Drosophila melanogaster: one gene and its partner. The protein of the gene in region 1 interacts with the protein of each later gene in a pairwise test. Each region holds a gene or a part of one and is shown on either strand. Other genes may lie near its edges.

Region 1 (10,927 bases):
GTCAAAATCATGCCTTTGCTCATGTTTTATGTGGGATATTCCGTTGTGTTCTGCTGGGCTGCTTTTAATTGCTTTACATTTTTGTTTATTTTGTTGACGCTGTCCCTGCCGTTCTCTGTGCATGTATGTGTCCGTGTGTGTCTGTATGTGTTTATGTCCTTGTCTGTGTTTGCGGGCTGTAATGAAGACCCGTGTCGGTCTGCATATTAACTGGAACACACTTGCAGCATTTTTAAATGCATAGTGCACCACCCGCCGCCCAACCACCAACTGAACCACCAGAAACACCCGCCCTAAGCATTTTAGGGCCGTAGTTGGACAGCGAAAACAGAAACGAGTCATGGGGATGGCCAAGAGCGGCGGGTTTTTTTTGGTGGGTGGAGGGGAGCGGGTGCGGGAGGTAGAGCTTGCGGCTGCGGCAAGTAAATTTGCGCACGGCTTTCATTGTCTGTCATAAGCATAAATGGTTATTAATATTAAAGTTCATAACGGGCCATGTTAACTGCTCATTTAACGGGACCATCCTTCTGGCCACTTTATTTTTGCCTGACTGCTCCGCCCGCCAGCCAACCAGCCACGCCCTCCTGGCAGCATCCGCCCCCCCGTTTGCTCATTGATATGTCGGCAGTTGTTTACACATTTACAGCCCGCTGTGCACCACAACCATGGCCATTTGCAACCAGTTAACGAAAGAGGCCATTCGAGCCTTATTAAGTCACTAAAATTGCATCGACAGTGCAACATTTCCACTTCCCACTGGCCACTAGCATCAAGTCAAGGTTTAAGGCTTAACACGATCATTTTTAATGAGACACAGAACAGGCTCCATTGGCGGTAATTTCCAATATTACATGATGCTGGGTATATTTTAAATCAAATTAGGGGAATGTGCCACTGATTTAACCCATTTCTATATATGCGCTGAACTTAACGTACCACTGACCCCGAATGAACTGCAATCCGTGCGCAAGCTGAACACAAATTAATTTAAGACTTAAGCCGATTTTTATGAATTGTATATGGATGCAATGCAAATTAATTCGATATATGTAAACAAATAAATGAAAAACTGAGAATGTGTTAAAGGCGAATAATAAATTAACTATGTGCACACATACATGCGACGCTCTGGCGTTGTAAATTATTTTTTGAATGCACAGCAATTAAGTAAAGTCAGACGGGCAAACATGAAACGGAAATCCCAGCATGTTGTGCATGTCTCTGTGTCCGATTTTCCACAGAAATGGCCAGGTGTGAGATATATAATCGGAATCGAATGGATAGGCGTAATCACGGAGCGTTAACAGGAATTATATATACCGGCGGGGACTTAAAACTGGTTTTTATCGTCACTCAAAGGGTTAATGGACATGGGCATAGGGCATCCTGAAGGTATTCCAAATTGAATTATATTCTAAAATTACTGCACGGTATTCTCAGAGAGAATGCTATAGTCGAGTTTCCGCCTATCAGATACCCGTTACTTAGCTAATGTGAATGGCCATACATACTTTTCAACGAATCTAGTATACCCTTTTACTCTACGAGTAACGGGTAGAAAAAGCCATTAAGTTAATCTTATTTTGAAACACAGATCTCCAATAAAAAAAACACTCGTTAAACTTACACTTTTATGAAGCATCGCTTTAATTTGCTTTAATCCAATTCATTAACATTGCCCACAATCTATCATTGACTTTTTTGTGATCCATACATTAGCATGTTTTGCCAAGTAATTAAAATGAATATTTAAATAAAATTAAATATTCAAATGCAGTTGGTAAGAAAAAAGTATGCAAATTAAATTATTTATTGCGGCCAATAAGTTTGTTGACAAACTTTAACAATCCAATTACAAGTAGTACTTAGCCGAGACTATTCTAATTAAATATATACGATTGGGAAGAGTTTGGGAAGACGCGACTAATCACTGGATTGTGTTTTCAAATTCAGGAACGTTTCTTTTGGCGAGACTTAATCCACTACTTAACTATAGTATATATACAGGCGTGTAGACTTACTTAATGGTAGGCATTCTTATAAGGGCTCAGGCACTGAGATCTTTGGGCATTGAATCGCTGACTTTTCCAGTTGGGGCATCTTTAATTGGTTCTAAGGACTAAGCTAACTTAAATGAACTGCGGGAAGTCCAGCATGTCGAAGCTGTTGTCAAATTCGGGCTGCAAATGGAAATTAGCCGGGGGCTGTGGGCTTTTGCATTGCGGCTCGTAGACATCCGTCAGATACTTTGTCACGTACTCGAACGACACAAACTCGCTCAAGTGGCATTTGCTGTCACCATTGGCGCGGCCATTATTGTTGGCCAGGCTAATTCCATTAGCAGATGCGGCTGGCGTACCTGTGGGCTTCGCCGTCGTCAGCAATTGCTCGAGTTCGCTTAATTGATTAATATTCGCATTGTAACGGTTATTGTTGCTGTTACTGTTACTGCTGCCGCCACCGCTGCAAACGCTCAGCACTTCCGTTTCCGGTGCGGGCGCCATGTTGCCATTGCCATATGTTGCTGTTGCCGTTGTTGTTGCTGTTGCGGTTGCCAGTGTTGCAGGTCCTGCAGGACCTCCGCTCTGATTGTGCTCGATGATGACAATGCAATTTGACAACTCATTAAAGTTCATTGAATTGTTATTAGCTGCAACACCGGTGCCGCAATTGCTGCGGTCTGTCGTCCTTTCGTTTTCTGGCTGATGCTGCTTCTGCTGCTGCTGCTGCTGTTGCTGCTGCTGTTGATGCTGCTGCAGCAGCAATGCCTCGCTGCAACTATTGCTGCGGTGTTGTCGCTGATCCCCCGGAGCACTTGGCACGGCCACGCCCACGCCCGCACCCACGCCCCTTTGCACCAGTGCCGACTCGGAGTGACGGCGTGTTTTGGCCGCCTTCTTTGGACCGGAGGGCGGTACGGAAGCGCCGCCGGCAGATTTGCGGCGCAGCTGTCCGTTGGCGTTGCGCAGCGCGTGGTTCTTGACATGTTTGCGGAGGCTGGAGGGATCCGTGTAGCGCTTGGTGCATCCAGGCAGCTGGCAGGCATACGGTTTCTGTACCAAATAGAGCGAGAATCGATAGAGCGTTGCGTTAGTACTGTAGTATTTGCCTCAGATGCGAGTTCGCATCAAACCGCAGCGGCTCAGTGCCGATGCCGAAAACTATGCAATTGATTTCTCCCATTCGCCCTGCAGGCGCTCCTAACTCACTCACACTCACACACCCGCACATGGCACACACACACCCATGCAAACGTTCACCAGCTAACAGATGGGCCAGCGTATTTGCCAAGTCAAATCGTTTTGAAATGTCATGCTGCATTTTGTTTATTCTGGCCAGGCAGCAGCCGCTGGCCGAAAGCGACAACAGCAAGGGGCAGTGCACTCGAAAAAGGTTCATTATTAACATGGAAACTGACATTTGTCTTGGACAAATGGAGCTTAAAGCTTAGAAATTAATCAATCGTTTTAGTTTTATCAAAAAAAAGTATACCTACTGCATAAATATATGCACTGCAATAACTATGAAAACTATCTAGGCATTTCCAAATAAAATGTAGAGAGCTACTAAAAAGTGAAGAATTTCTTTTTGAAACACCAATTTTTCTGAGTGTGTCGCAAGCATTGGCAGCCGCGCCAGGCCAACACACATTGTATCCTTTTGTGATCCTGATTGGCTGCCCTGCCCCTTCAGCTAGGCAACGAAAGTAACTCGTTTAGTTTATTCGATTTGCCTGCCGCGGTTGTTGCTGTTGTTGCCTGCTGTTCTGGCCATTGCTGCTGGCTGAATCGCTGGCCTTTTCAGCTGGTTTTGACCTTTTTTCCGGTTGTCGTACGCGCTGACGCGGCTGCTGTTAGTCCCTGCCTCTGTACTCCTGCCCCACCGTACTCCCTTCCGTATTCCGATTGCGATTCCTATTCGGATTCGTAGTCCTATTCCAGCTGCTGTTACTTTGGCCATCGGCCACCGCTCGCTCTCACAGATACAGTACACACGCAAAACTATAAATCACTCAGGCAGCGAAATGCGAAATGTGCACATGTCATGCTGGCAGCAGCAACAGTGGCTCCTTCGACCATTTCCTTTTTCTTTTTTTTTTCTGCCACTCTGAGCTCCTGTTTGGGCCGCTAAGCGCCTTGGAGTCCATTAAATCTTAAAGCCGCTTCACGCTCGTCGGGTGAAGCCCCAGCTGCATCTTTTGCAGCCGCGAGCTCTTCAATTTCCTTTTGACACGCACTGCAAATTGCTGGGACCCCAGAGAAGAGGCCAACCCATCCCGGCACCGCCCACGCATTCAGCCGCACTCATATGCATAGCATATAGGGATACTCACCGTATCGTAGTGGGTCCTTTGATGTTTCGCCCGATCCGAGCTATTGCTGAACGCTTTGAGGCAACCTTTATACTGGCAGCCATAAGGCCGCTCGCCCGTGTGCGAGCGTTGATGAATTTTCAAATTTTCCAAACGCGAGAATGCTTTATTGCAGCCGGGAAACTGTAATGGAAAAACAAAAAGGTGGAAAGGTGTCATCGAAAATTGCAATTACCAAGGGTGGGAGGGAAGGTGTTTTTTTTTTTTTTTGCAAGGAATGGCGCAAGGGATAAAGCAAGAGGATGAGGCACTGGAAGGACGCATAAAATTGTGACCTCGCAGCAGATGCTGTTACTGTTGCCGCTGACGCCCGCAGGTGTTGCACGTAGTAGCCCCGCCCACTCGCAACACTCGACCACTCCACCTGAAAAGGGGCAAATTACGTTTTTGCAACAGAAACAGTAAGAGAAACCGAAACAGAAACAGAAACATGTGTAATGGCAAATGGCAGCTGGAGCAGCATCAGTGGGCCAAGTTGATGATGCCCGAGCCAATTTAATCGAAAAAAAAAATCCTGCAAGAATCCATCAATTACTCAAAAATCAAAACGAAAGAGCATGGCAAAGGGCAGGGATAGAAGATGTAGCGAGTGTTGGCCCTAATAACATTACCAGCAACTCCATTTCAAGTGGACTCCGGATTCCGTTCGGATACCGCCTCGCAGCTCTCGCCTCGCCCTGTCAATTTCTGTGATTGCCCTGCGCCGCACAATTCATCATCCCAGCGATGGCGCATCAAATGTCAACACGTGCACGATACCATACCATACCATACCATACCATCCAACGATGCCACACAAACAAAAAGGAAAGCGAAACGCACAAAATGGGATCCTACGGCGGAAAAGTCGTGTTTGGACGCATAAACAAATGCGTTCAGCTGCGGCCAGGGGGAAAAAAAAATGGATAAAATCCAAATCTATTGTTTGATGTTTGAAAAATGATATTCTATGAGGGATTGAAAAGGTTGGTAAACAGAGAGAAAATATACACATGTATCTCAATCGATGGATTCCCGAACAGAGTTGCCATTTTTCTTCTAAACAAAAAAAAAAATATTCTACAAGGAAATCTCCGAACTAGTCAATGGGGTCAAATGGGTTTTGGTCCTGCATATAGAGTCATCTTTTCATCCTTACCGGACATTTGTTGGGCTTCTCGCCGCTGTGAACTCGCATGTGGATGAGCAGCTTGTAGCGGGCATTGAAGGGCTTGTAGCGCCTGGGGCAGTCTAGCCAGAAGCAGGAGAAGTCCTCGCCCTTGCGCACATCCACATGGCACTTCTCGATGTGCTCGACGAAGGCCTGTTGGTGCGGGAACTCCTCGTCGCATCCCGTCCAGCGGCAGATGAGTGGGATGACCTCATTCTCTGGCTCCGCCTCGGGATCACAGCAGGTTGAATCCGGCTTGGGATCACTTTCCGCCGGTGGGGCAAACACGTCATTGTCCAGGTCATCCTCCTCCTCGTTGTAGTTCTCGTCATCGTCACTGTCCAGGCTCCGGAACTCCTCGGCCTTGATGAACTCATCCGATAGATAGTTGACCAGATCGTCTTTGCAGTTCTGTGTTTGCTGTTCCTGCCCATGTGGCTGATGCAGTTGCTCCTGCTGCTCCTGCAAGTGTTGCTGCTGCAGATGATGCTGAAGGAACTGCTGCTGCTCGCCCAACATCAGTTCATCCAGTTCATCGATGGTCCAGATGGCCTTGTGCTCGCGATTGGGCTTCTCGACGACCTGAGCCATATTGTTGTGGTAGTTCTCCGTGGAATACCCCGATCCCTGTTGGTAGAGATTCGCGTAATCCTCGTAGTTGCTGGCGCACATGGGAATGCATTTGGGAGTGCCGAAGGTGGAGTTCATCGATGGCAGTTTCGCCGGCGAGGCCTCCTCTTTGACCTGCTCCTCGAACACATTGCCCAACTTCGGGGATGCGGCACTCGATGATGCGGCCGCTGAAATCTCGCCGAGATTGAAGTTCAGCCAGGCGTCGAGGTGCGGTGATGAGCACGGTGACTGGTTTTTCGATTGGCAATTAATCTCGTCGTAATTAAAATAATCGATATCCAGATTAATGGAGTCATTCGCCGGCTGCACGGCATACTGACTATTCTGTGCACTGCACGGTGTGTAGGGTGTGTAAGGGGTATATGGGGTATATGGCGTCTGTGGATGTTGCAACATGCCGGGCAGTTCGGACTCGCCAGTCAGACGCGCTATGTCCTCCGGTTCGAAGCGGAAGATATCCTCGCGATTCAGTTGCGTGTACTGTCCCTGCTGATAGGGCATGCCCGTATTTTCCGCCGCTGCGCAGACAATGTCATCCTGATCCGAATCCTGCTGCTGATCCTGGCCAGCATAGTTGTGACAGTCGCTGAACACGGAGTTCGGTGTCTCGGCGGCAAAGCAGAGGTGTGAAAAGTCCGGAAACTGCAGCTCACCGCAGGCGTAACTTTCATTCGTTTCCACCTTGGCTCCCGGCACACGGAACATTTCCCGCTCCCCATTATTGGCCGTTATATTGGCACTCAGCGGAGGCGACATAAATCCGCCGTAGCAACTGGCCGCCTCCTTGCCAGAAATCGACGAAATACCCGAAATCGACGACGTCTTGACGTACATGCCGCCACTTTGGCTGGTCTTCAGCGAGGATGACATACTATATTTCGATGTCTCTGTCTCTGGTGATTTGCTGTCGTCCGTTCTTCTGGGCCGGCCGCTTTCACTTTCGCATTTCCGGCAGTTGTCTGGGAAGATTGCCAATATTTCTTCTTTTTTTTGTTTGTTTTTTATGGCCACCGAACGCGGGAAATCCCAAGAAAATCGAACACTTAAACACACACGTAAGTCGGAGGATTTTCTATGTATCTATGTAGTTCAACACTTGCGATGTTCACGCCACCGCGATCTGGCTGACAATAAACCGGAGAGCTGCTGCCGCACGATATTTAAACGCCCGGAACGGGATGTTCCACGGGTGTGGGAAGGGGAACGGAATCGGGAGCGGGTGCGGGTGCGGGTGCGGGAACGTGGAGCGTTGGATCCTGCCTCTGCCGCTGCCGCAGTTGACGCAGTTCTGGGCGATCTCTGTCCGCTTTTGCTTCGCCTTTGGCACGCACATGTGCTACCGCCGCTGCCGCAGTCAGCGCCGACGTCCCTCCACCTCACCCCTGGGGCAACCATCACTTTAGACCCCCTTCCACCATAGGTTTTTCCTCTTGTTTTAGTCGCAGTGCTGCCGTTGTGGTTGTTGTTCTTGTTAATACTGTTATTTTAGGCTTATGTTTGCGTATAGAAATTATGCGTAAGCTACAACGAGTGCCCTGTGGAAAATGGGAGCAAAACGTAGAAATATGAAAGTAAAATGTAACAGAAAAATATATAATTCAATTTATGGGGATTTTTCAACAGTAATTTACTTTTTATATTCTCAATAAATTCATATATTAAGACTGAAATTATGCATTAGTAATCAAAATGCATGTAAAAAGTAGTTAAAACTTTTGAGCCGAAAAATACAGTTGAATTTGTTTTCTAAGTTTTGTTTTACTAAGACAGACTAGATTTACTGCTAAAACTTCTGAATATTTTTTATATATTTTTAATATATATTTCAAGTGCTTAAAACCGACCTATTTAGAGCATTCTACTTTGACATCCCATCGTCGCATTTTCCACAGTGCACTTGACCGTGGCAGTGTCGCTGTGCTCTGCGTTTTCGTGATCTGCTGTATCCTCAGCCCATTTCCTCGATCCAGCAGATTTCCCCGCCCATTTTCCATTCGCCAGCCGTGCTGCACTGTGCGATCTTGTTGTTGCACACATGGTGTGCAAGTGTGCGCTGCCCTTCTTCTTGTTTGTGTTGCAGTTGCAGCTAGGCTGTCGAATGTTTTAGCACTATTTTTTATTGCCACATAATTCTCGTTCTTCTCTCCGTTTTTGCTACACCGAGTGGCGGAATTGGAATCACCAGGCGGGCGTAAGTACTGTACTACATACATGGGCTATATTTATTGTGGCAACTCATTTGCCAGTGCGACAAATAGCGCATGCACATCGCACACTCGCTTCTCCAGTGCATCATCGTGTAGAATGCAACTCAAAGATCGCGCTCTCTGTGCGCTATTTTTAGCGCAATTTAGCTCGTCCGCTAATGCCTGACAATATGTTTTTAATTTACGCCACAAAAATGCAATTGCAAAACTATTTGTTGTCCCCTCTCCAATGGCAGTGCTGTATATTGTCCTAGGTCCTCGAGTGCATTGCCCATTGTGGCTGCAATTGCGATAGTGACGTTTCCGGAGCATGAGTCAGTTTCCTTTCATCCACATCCATTTCCATGTCCCATAACCCATTCGCTATCTCTTTTTTCGTTTTTTTTTTTTTTTTTTGTGGCCAACGCGGCACTTCATCATTAAATGATGCCATCTCCCTATAATCGCCATATATTTTTTATGATTTTTGGCAAGCGTCGCGATTTGGCGCACGTTCACCCGAACGCGATGATTGTGGGGTCGCTTCTTTTTTTTTGTTGTTTTGGGTCGTTTGGGGCTGCCGAATGGTTTAGATCGGCTGCGATGGTCTGGTCTGGGCTGGATGAGGTTGGCATAGGTTGGCAGCTGCCCCTGCCAGGGGGCTTCTGTTCTCGGCCCGAAACGCGTCAAGTCAATTCAGAAACGTTTAACACACAATTCCTGCCACTTGCGCGCTCGTCATTTGCGAATCGGTCGGAGGGCTGGCCAAAAGATTGGGCTGCTGGCCAAAACTGTGCGGCCACCGCCTTTGTTGTCGCACGATTGCGACAACTTACATCATTCTTAAAATTAGGCGATTTTGGCAGCACTTTTTCACGTCGAATGCACTGCGAGAAAAGTAGTATGTAGGGTGAGAAAAAAATTAGCTGCACACAGAAGATTTAAGGCAGAACACAAACTTTACCAATTTCAATCCATTCTGATAGTTCAAGTAACATAATATCATATTGAAAAGTACATTTTGAAATTCTTTCGAGTGCATCCTAGTCGCGTTTCTGGCCAAGACCTATAGACCTGATGCCAATGCGAGTTGATGTTTTTATGAGTGGCGATGACGCGCGGCGACGTTTCTTGGTTTCTTGGGAAAACACTCGACCATTTCCGCTGGTGATTATCAATTTTCCCAGATTTAAGGTAATTTTTCTTGTGCGTGGGCAGCGCTGCGCTGTCGTCCAATTTATGATTTGTCTGGCCCAAGATTCGATTTCAATTAAATGCTCAAATGAATCACTCACTATCGCCTGGCGTGTTTGTATGAGCCAGCGAAAAATGTTTGATTGGAAAACCAGGCAATTAATTAGCTGCAGCAGCTTGAATGACCCTTGTGCCCTGCGTCGAGCGACGGTGCATGTGTAAACATTATTTCGATCAGATTGTAATATTCCTTTGGCGCAGTGCAACAAATAAGCCGCAACATTAATGGATACACTCGAATGGCGAATGTTTGGTTTGGTCAACTTCGGTGGGTGGAAATTATGCGGCATGCCAGCAAATGGCTTTAATGAAAAATCGTAAATAAAAGCGTGAGCGAGCAGGAAAAAAAAAGCGCACTTAATAAAATTTATTTGTTGCCAAGTAATGAGACGGCGCGGTGTCGATTTGTTAATGAAATTTTTAACTTTATGCTTTCCGCTCTCCGGTTCCGAGGATAAATAAATGTACGTAAATATATACTCGTACACTCGTGTATTTTTTCTCGTTGAGGGTACTATATGTCGACTGGGTTCATAAATTTGTCAATGATTTTCCACTTGACAATGCTGCAAATGGTCTCGTTTATTTACTCCACATTCTCCATCAAGTGAGCCGCTGATGTGGCAATGGGTCGCCCTTTTGGGATGGCACTACCACAGTCTCTACTACAGACCATATCTGGGGTAATTCTGGTTGTTGCAACTATAGGGAATGGTTATTGCTTTTGTTTATTTCCAATCACAGACATCATGTGTGCGCTTTGGATTCGGGACTGTCTTTAAATAAATAAATAAAGCGTCGGGGGAAGGGGTTGAGGTTGTGCTGGGATTACGAGTATCTGTCAAAATAGAATCATTATCTTTTCGAGGAAATTTGGAGCTAATACATAGAGTTTAGTTTACAATACAAAAATATTTTCACTAGTAATTAACTAATTTAAAAATGGAAAGACTAGAAAACAATAGAAGCAGATAAAAATATATCATTATAGCAATTGTAATTTTCGCTTGGCAAGAAGTCAAAAGACCTTTACACTCACCAAAGAAAACACATTTTCCTGTGTTGAAGGTGTTTGGCTCACAGCTTATTCCATCGCTCACACTCATCGCATTCAACAAGTAAATTTGTCAGGCGGTAATTTGATTTTGTTTGGCCATGAAAAATGAAAATACCCCGCCATTGTGGCTGTTTAATTTGTAATTTGAGCCGCGACATTCAACTTGAACTATCCTGCGGCACTCTGGCTCCCTGATCCCCGAACCACGATCCGAAAAACACAAAATCTGAAATCCAAAATCCCAAATCCCCCAACTCATGTACCCAACGATGTCC
Region 2 (6,397 bases), on another chromosome or scaffold:
TCGCTATGACGCTCCTTTTGAGCCTGATCACAGTCTTTAAGAGTCTGCAGGAGCAGAGTGAGGATGGCATAGTTTCAAAGAGTTCGCAAGAGTTTGTGGACCTCAAGGAGTTGGCCAAGCGATTTGCGCTCACATTTGGTTTCGATGCCATCAAGAATCGCGAATCTGTGGCCGCCATTCATCGTGGTGGCATTTATTTCGCTGCGAACAAGGAGCCAGATGATCCGGTGCGGGCTCCAACTCGCTTGCTCTTCCTGGAGGTTTTGAACGAGTTCAACTACAAGCTACTGAAGCAAGACAAGAAGGTCATAATGAGCTTTCTGGACAAGATAATACCACCCGCAATGCCATCCAGCCGAGCTGAGGAATGGCAGCCGCTGATATTATATCGCAATTCCTTGCTACATGGCGAAACTGATCAAGCGCCCGTCGCCAGCAAACGAGCCTACACACGTAAACGTCGAGATCATGGTAAGAATTTCATAGCTTTCATTTTATTTAGAATCAACATTATGAAAAACATGTTTTTAATTTAGATGAAGAAGAGGAGGAGGAGGAAGACGAAGAGGAACACAATGATCCTGATTACAGGGGCTAGGACCCATCAGGCAATCAGCCATACACGCGGCTTAAGTGCAAAATCTAATTTTCCGGAAAATCAAGTAGTTGTAAGATTAAAGCTAATATTATGTACATAAATACGTTTAAATTATATAAATTACTGTATCCTAATTGATTTCCGAATTGCTAAAGCTAAAGTTGGCCTTCATGAGCAACATTTTGGATGCACTTTCGGGGCTCAAGCCCGCCTGCATGTCGAAATACAAGTGCGTTGATTTTCTAAATAAGCCTTCACTAACCACACTTGCTGCTGGTGCTGATAAGAATTTCCTAACAATGCCATACAAGGATATGTATTTTATGTTGCTCCTCCACCAAATCAGGGGATCCATGTTCCTATCGATTCTGGGTTCGGAGTTGTATAGATATAGCAGATTCTTAATCTGAGACTGGGAGCCCATTGACGTATTTGGCTGTTGAGTGTTCGTCGTTCCAGTTGTCAGTATGCTATCCAGAATGCTATCGATCTTTGATTCATTCTTCTGGGACGATGTGGATGACACTTTGATTATTTTCAGCGGTGGCTGACCATTGCAATCCTCTGGCACTCCAGCGAGCTGAAGCAGAACTTCATTGGCCACCAACTGCTCCTCACGTTCGGTGAAAAATGCTTGCTTATATCTCGGATCCAAATATGTGGCCATCAAAAAGTTGATGTCGCTAGTGATGTGGGCGAACTTCATTTCCAGTTCTTCAAGCAACTTTCTGGCGAAACTGCATATAGTCTAGACATTCGAAATATTAGACAATACTTTATGGTTTTATCTACTGCAACTTACCACAGATGAGACAAAGTTATGGACATCTGTTCGGAGGGAATCCCGTAAAGCGGCAACCAGCGGGATTACGGATGAGGTGGTCGTAGATGGATTGCTCCATATCTTGATTGTTTCTTCACAAGGCTGCATTACTTTGCTGCACAAATCGATCTCTATCCATTCATCTGGATATATTTGGACCAGACTATACTCTTCGCAGTACAAGGATAGAGCATCTTTCATTCGAAACACGCTGCTCATCATCTGAAAAGCGGAATTCCATTGACAGGGATCGTAAGGTGTAAGTGTGCACGGGTCTCGCGTCAAGCGGATCTCTTGAATGAATTTCAGATGATCGTTGGCCATCTTAGACGACGCAAAATGGTCAACTATTTGCTTGCACTTGGATGAAAGGTTCTGCAGTAATTCGTTCGATTGCAAAGCAAATCGAACGCACATCTGCAGGCGGTGCACACTGCAATCGGGCAGGGAACCTGGCAGCGCCGTCATCTCGTCCCTGATTACGCAGTGTATCTTCTCTTTGGGCACCTCAATGGCCAAGCTGGGCACAAGATCTCGAATGCAACAAGCTAGCTTCGAAGTGCTTTCGTAATTCAGAGCCTCGCATTTCAGCATTAGGCGGTGAGTCTGAAAATCCCTTGATATTCCGGAGCAGGACAAGCTCAGCAGTCCTTCGCCTTTGTCACCACGCCAGAGACTCGTAGACAACGATATGGCATCCAGCAGATCCACCTGTTGCTTCAAATGCTGATGCATTTTCCTTTGTATATCCTCGCACAGTATCTTCTCATAGTAGCTCCTTGGTTGAATCGTGTACCGCGGCTGCAGCGTCCTAATGAAATTTACGAATCCTGGTCCTTCAATGAACTCAAAGGAGTGATTTAGTAGCATGAGGGCCAACTTCTCATCACAGCGTTTGCTGTAGGATATATCCTCGGTGTCCAATGGATCTGAATCTGTTTCCTAAAATGATTAATAGAATAATTTAATGCATCAGATTAGTGAAAAACGCATAATTTATAAAAATATAATACTAAGACCATAACAGTACATTTTTAAAACCTCCTTAACTACACTTTATAAACACAACACATGTTTGCCGATCTAGCCAAACGCGGATAAAAATCCGCATCCGCTGTTGCTATATTAGTAAAAAGTTTTAAATAAGAGAAGGCATAAATTACTTTATGAACTACCAAAGAAACTATATTTGAATGGAAACTTAAGTTTGGGGAAACCATCTCCACATGACAGAATATCTAGAAGGGCATGTACCCCGATTTCACATAAGGTACACTTCTTGCACAGTACATATGCATGTACATAGGTATGTATGCACATCTATATGCTATCCCACTTACGTGCAGATTCAATTCTAGCTGGGCTGTGGGGTGCTGTGGCGAACCGATGGAGATCTCGCTCTTAACCAGGTCCAGGTACTTTATGTCCCCGGATAGAGATAGGAACTCCGGTGGGTGCTTGCTCTTCAGATGATTCCGCAGACATGTTGTGCCGCGTCCTCGCCTCGAGTAGTTCCTGTTGCACAGCAGACAGGTGGCCACTGTGCCGGATGTCTTGTAGAAGTACTGCCACACATTGCTTTTCTTCTTGCTCATCGCTGCAATTCTTTGGTAATTCTCAAATTGTACATTTTTTGCGGATGTCCACATCCGCCTCTACATCCGTTCTGCGGCAGAGTTCGACATCCCTGGCAGATATCGATAGGCCCATCGATGACCATCACTAATATGCTGCAATCAGTTTTTGGCGCGCCAAAGCAGCTGTTGTTTTTTGCATTCGAGGTTTTTGAGGCATTTGCAAATTCATTCGTTAACTAGATAATGCCCTGTGCGATGGAGCTGCCCAGCACGCCCGATGAACTGGCCGCCCAGCAAGCGGACAGCGCTGCACTCAAGGACTTGCTCAAGGATCCCAGTCGTTGGCACTCGATTCCCCTGCTCAACTACACGCCTCTTCACAAGCTGAAGGATCAGACTCTGGTGCGCTTTCGTGGAATGATCCAGGACATGATGGACCCAGAAATCTATCTGGAGCGCTACGAAGTGAAATCCGCCGACGGCAGCAAACGTGTACAGGAAGGAAAGTACAGGGACTGCTTGAAAATAGCCAATGGCGAAGTGATTGACTACAACGCCGATGGAAACGTGCATGGAGAGAGGCGTACCATGTTCGTGGTCTCTGTGCCTGGTCTGAACGATTGGAGCAAGGAGCATGAGAAGCTGTGCTGTCCCCAGATCGATTTGGCCAGTCTGGGTCAATCTCCCAGTTCAGCCAAGAAGCGGACTATTGTAGGCGAAGAAGAAGCCATGGATGTGGACGTTGCGAGCGAAACAACGTTCAAGCGACCCTGCCTAAAAGAGATTCAAAAAGATAGCGAGCCAGTCGGCGCCTCCAAATCCTCTGTTCTTGGGTCTGATTACCTGATTAACTCGCCTCTGCCGGATCGTCCCAGCATGGCATGCATGGTAAAGGTTTACGAGGAGTTCGATACCTACCAGCTTAACTCGCTGGTCGACTTTGTGGGCTTTCTGTCAGTGGATGCTTCACTAGACGCCGCTACCCTGGAAATAGACGATTGTGAAAACTTGAGTGAACTGCAGGCAGCTCATCCATCGCCATTTCTTATACCCCGCCTGCATGCCTTCGGAGTCCAGGTGCTGCCGCATGCCAATCCGCTGCTGGACAAAAGCCTTCGACAGCCAACGGAAATATGTGAGGAGACGTATCCAACCCACCTTGCTGTGCACAAAGATCTGCGCATGCTTCTTAAACTCTGCCTCTTTGATGACGATCTGGCTGCCGAGTATTTGCTCTCCCACCTAATATCTACGGTCTACAGTCGTTCTGAGATGCAGAGCATCGGCAAGTTCGCCCTTAACCTTTGTAATCTCCCTAAGAATTGTGAGGCGTATGCAACCAAGTTGTATCAAATTCTGGAGCTGCTACTGCCGGCCAGCCATTACATGCCCATGACTCTCGTCACACTAAACACGGCAGCCTTTGCCCCAAAGTAAGTTGGCTAAGCAGAAATAGTATAAAATTGAATACCTATTAATGAGTACTTGCAGGAAGGATTATGAGACAAACAAGCTGGTTTCCGGCGTACTACAGTTGGCTCCCCATACGCATTTGGTGCTCGACGAGACGTGCATGCAACAGGGCAAGCTGGAGGCCAATGGTGTTCATGCCGTTCAGCATTTAGCGCACTTGATCAATAATCAGGAACTGAAGTGCGACTTTCAGTATTACCAAATAGACTACCAAGCAAATATTCCAGTTCTCGTGCTCAGTGAAGGGCGAAGTATGTTGCCGGTAAGAATATAAGTTTATATAAATAATCATTATATCCAATAGAAACTATTAATGATATGTTTTCAGAGCGATTTTGTGCTGCCCATTAATGCCGATTCTAAGGCCGTGGAACTTGTTGATGAATCTCTAAAGGCAGCCCACCACTATCTGCAGCCATCACGTCTGCAGCAGTTTCGCAAGTACTTGACCACAGCGCGCACTAGCGGCTTCAACGTGAGCGAGGAGCACACTGAAATGATCCAGCAGGATTTCGTGGACATGCGTAAAGCTAATGTCAAAAGTAATGCCGATGATCTGCATGGATTGCTGGTCCTCTCACGGCTGCTGGGCATCGCCCGGGGGAAGGATACGTTGGACAAAGAAACATGGCAGCTGGCTACGGAGTTCGAAGCAAAGCGTCGCCAGCGTATTCAATCTCTGCCGAAATCATCTGCCCAATTGCGCAATTAAGAGGGCCTCTCTTTTATACCATTTAATATTAAGTTTTTATAAATAAAATAGAATTTTTTAAAATTATTCTCTTTATATTTAATTTGTAGCTTTACAGGCAAGTCTAGTAATTTAGTACTCAAGTAAATGGGACTCTAGGAGCGTCATGACTCTTGGTCCACTACAACTTCATGACTTAAATGCTCGAAACGCCCTTCGATTAGCTGACTGGCCAGGCAATCTCCGCACAGATTAAGGTAACAATAACAACTGTTACAACGCCATTGGGTCCTGGTCACAGATGCCTCTTCGCACTCGGCACACTTGGCGGCCAGCAAGTCTGGCTCATATCCGTCCTCCATTTCCCGTTTCTCGTCCTGAATGGCTGATAGAAGCTTAAGGCATAGTTCCTGTTTTCGCTTTGACTCCGCATTCAGATCGGCATCCATGTACTCGGATTCGATCTTTGGTTCGATCTTGGATGCCGGCATAAGGAGCATATCGCTCGCAGGCGATGGGATTCGCAGGTCGTCAAATGTGAAATCGTCCTCTGGCATTTGTAGCGATATATTATGAGCGGGGAAGAAGGTTGACTTGCGAAGTTTGATCTTCGGCTTACTCAAACCAGGACGTCGATGCTTGGGTATGCGACCGGGCACAGGCATTCCGGCATCGTGCAGCTTTTGGAAATACTTCTGGACACGACTATACACTTGCTGTGCCGTTCTGTTGCCCAAGGCCTTCGCTATCTTCCCGAATCTGCGCATTTCCACTTCCTCTGGCGGATACTGGATGAGCAGCTGCTCCAAGCGACTCTGCTCTTCGTTGGTCCACAAGCGATTGAAATTCTCCGACCGTCCATTGCTCCTGTCCCGATTCTTGTTCGCCTCTTGCGTCCATGAAGACGCATCGGTCGGTGTCTCATTTGTGCCCCCTTCCTCGTCATTGGGCGACAGAGTTGGCAAGTCCGGTAGAACGGTCGTGGTGATGTAATTATCCGCTATCAAAGGCTCGTTGTTTCGCAGTTTGTCCAGCATATGTTGCGGATTCTCCAAGTAGATATTTTGTGTGGCTTCCAATTCCTCAATCTGCTGATGCACCCGAATCCTTTGTGCCTGCAGCACGGCCAAAGTGCGCAGCAAATTGGTATAGCACTGGTTGCCACGCAGGGCCAGGTGCTCGGTCTCAAAGTGAAACACATCCTCATCTTCTGCAGATATCTCTGCTATTTCCAT

Evidence for each region. The genes of interacting proteins can lie anywhere in the genome.
Region 2: the proteins of lmd (region 1) and CG13775 interact in a two-hybrid assay, tested with the Drosophila melanogaster proteins (one large-scale study listed by BioGRID).

What each region holds. Positions count from the first base shown.
Region 1 is NT_033777.3:23,019,427-23,030,353, forward strand, and holds lmd (lame duck), read right to left. Parts: upstream 7,288-10,927; 5' UTR 7,026-7,287; coding exon 5,511-7,025; intron 5,143-5,510; exon of another isoform or gene 4,996-5,142; coding exon of another isoform or gene 4,984-4,995; intron 4,496-4,983; coding exon 4,334-4,495; intron 3,054-4,333; coding exon 2,130-3,053; 3' UTR 1,796-2,129; downstream 1-1,795.
Region 2 is NT_033779.5:6,953,857-6,960,253, forward strand, and holds CG13775 (uncharacterized protein), read right to left. Parts: upstream 3,095-6,397; 5' UTR 3,017-3,094; coding exon 2,762-3,016; intron 2,488-2,761; exon of another isoform or gene 2,452-2,487; intron 2,364-2,451; coding exon 1,401-2,363; intron 1,347-1,400; coding exon 729-1,346; 3' UTR 599-728; coding exon of another isoform or gene 537-598; 3' UTR 501-536; downstream 1-500. Other genes in the region: SA1 (stromalin 1), read left to right, coding at 1-471, 537-598; CG3430 (uncharacterized protein), read left to right, coding at 3,242-4,431, 4,490-4,733, 4,800-5,183; Atac1 (Ada2a-containing complex component 1), read right to left, coding at 5,327-6,397.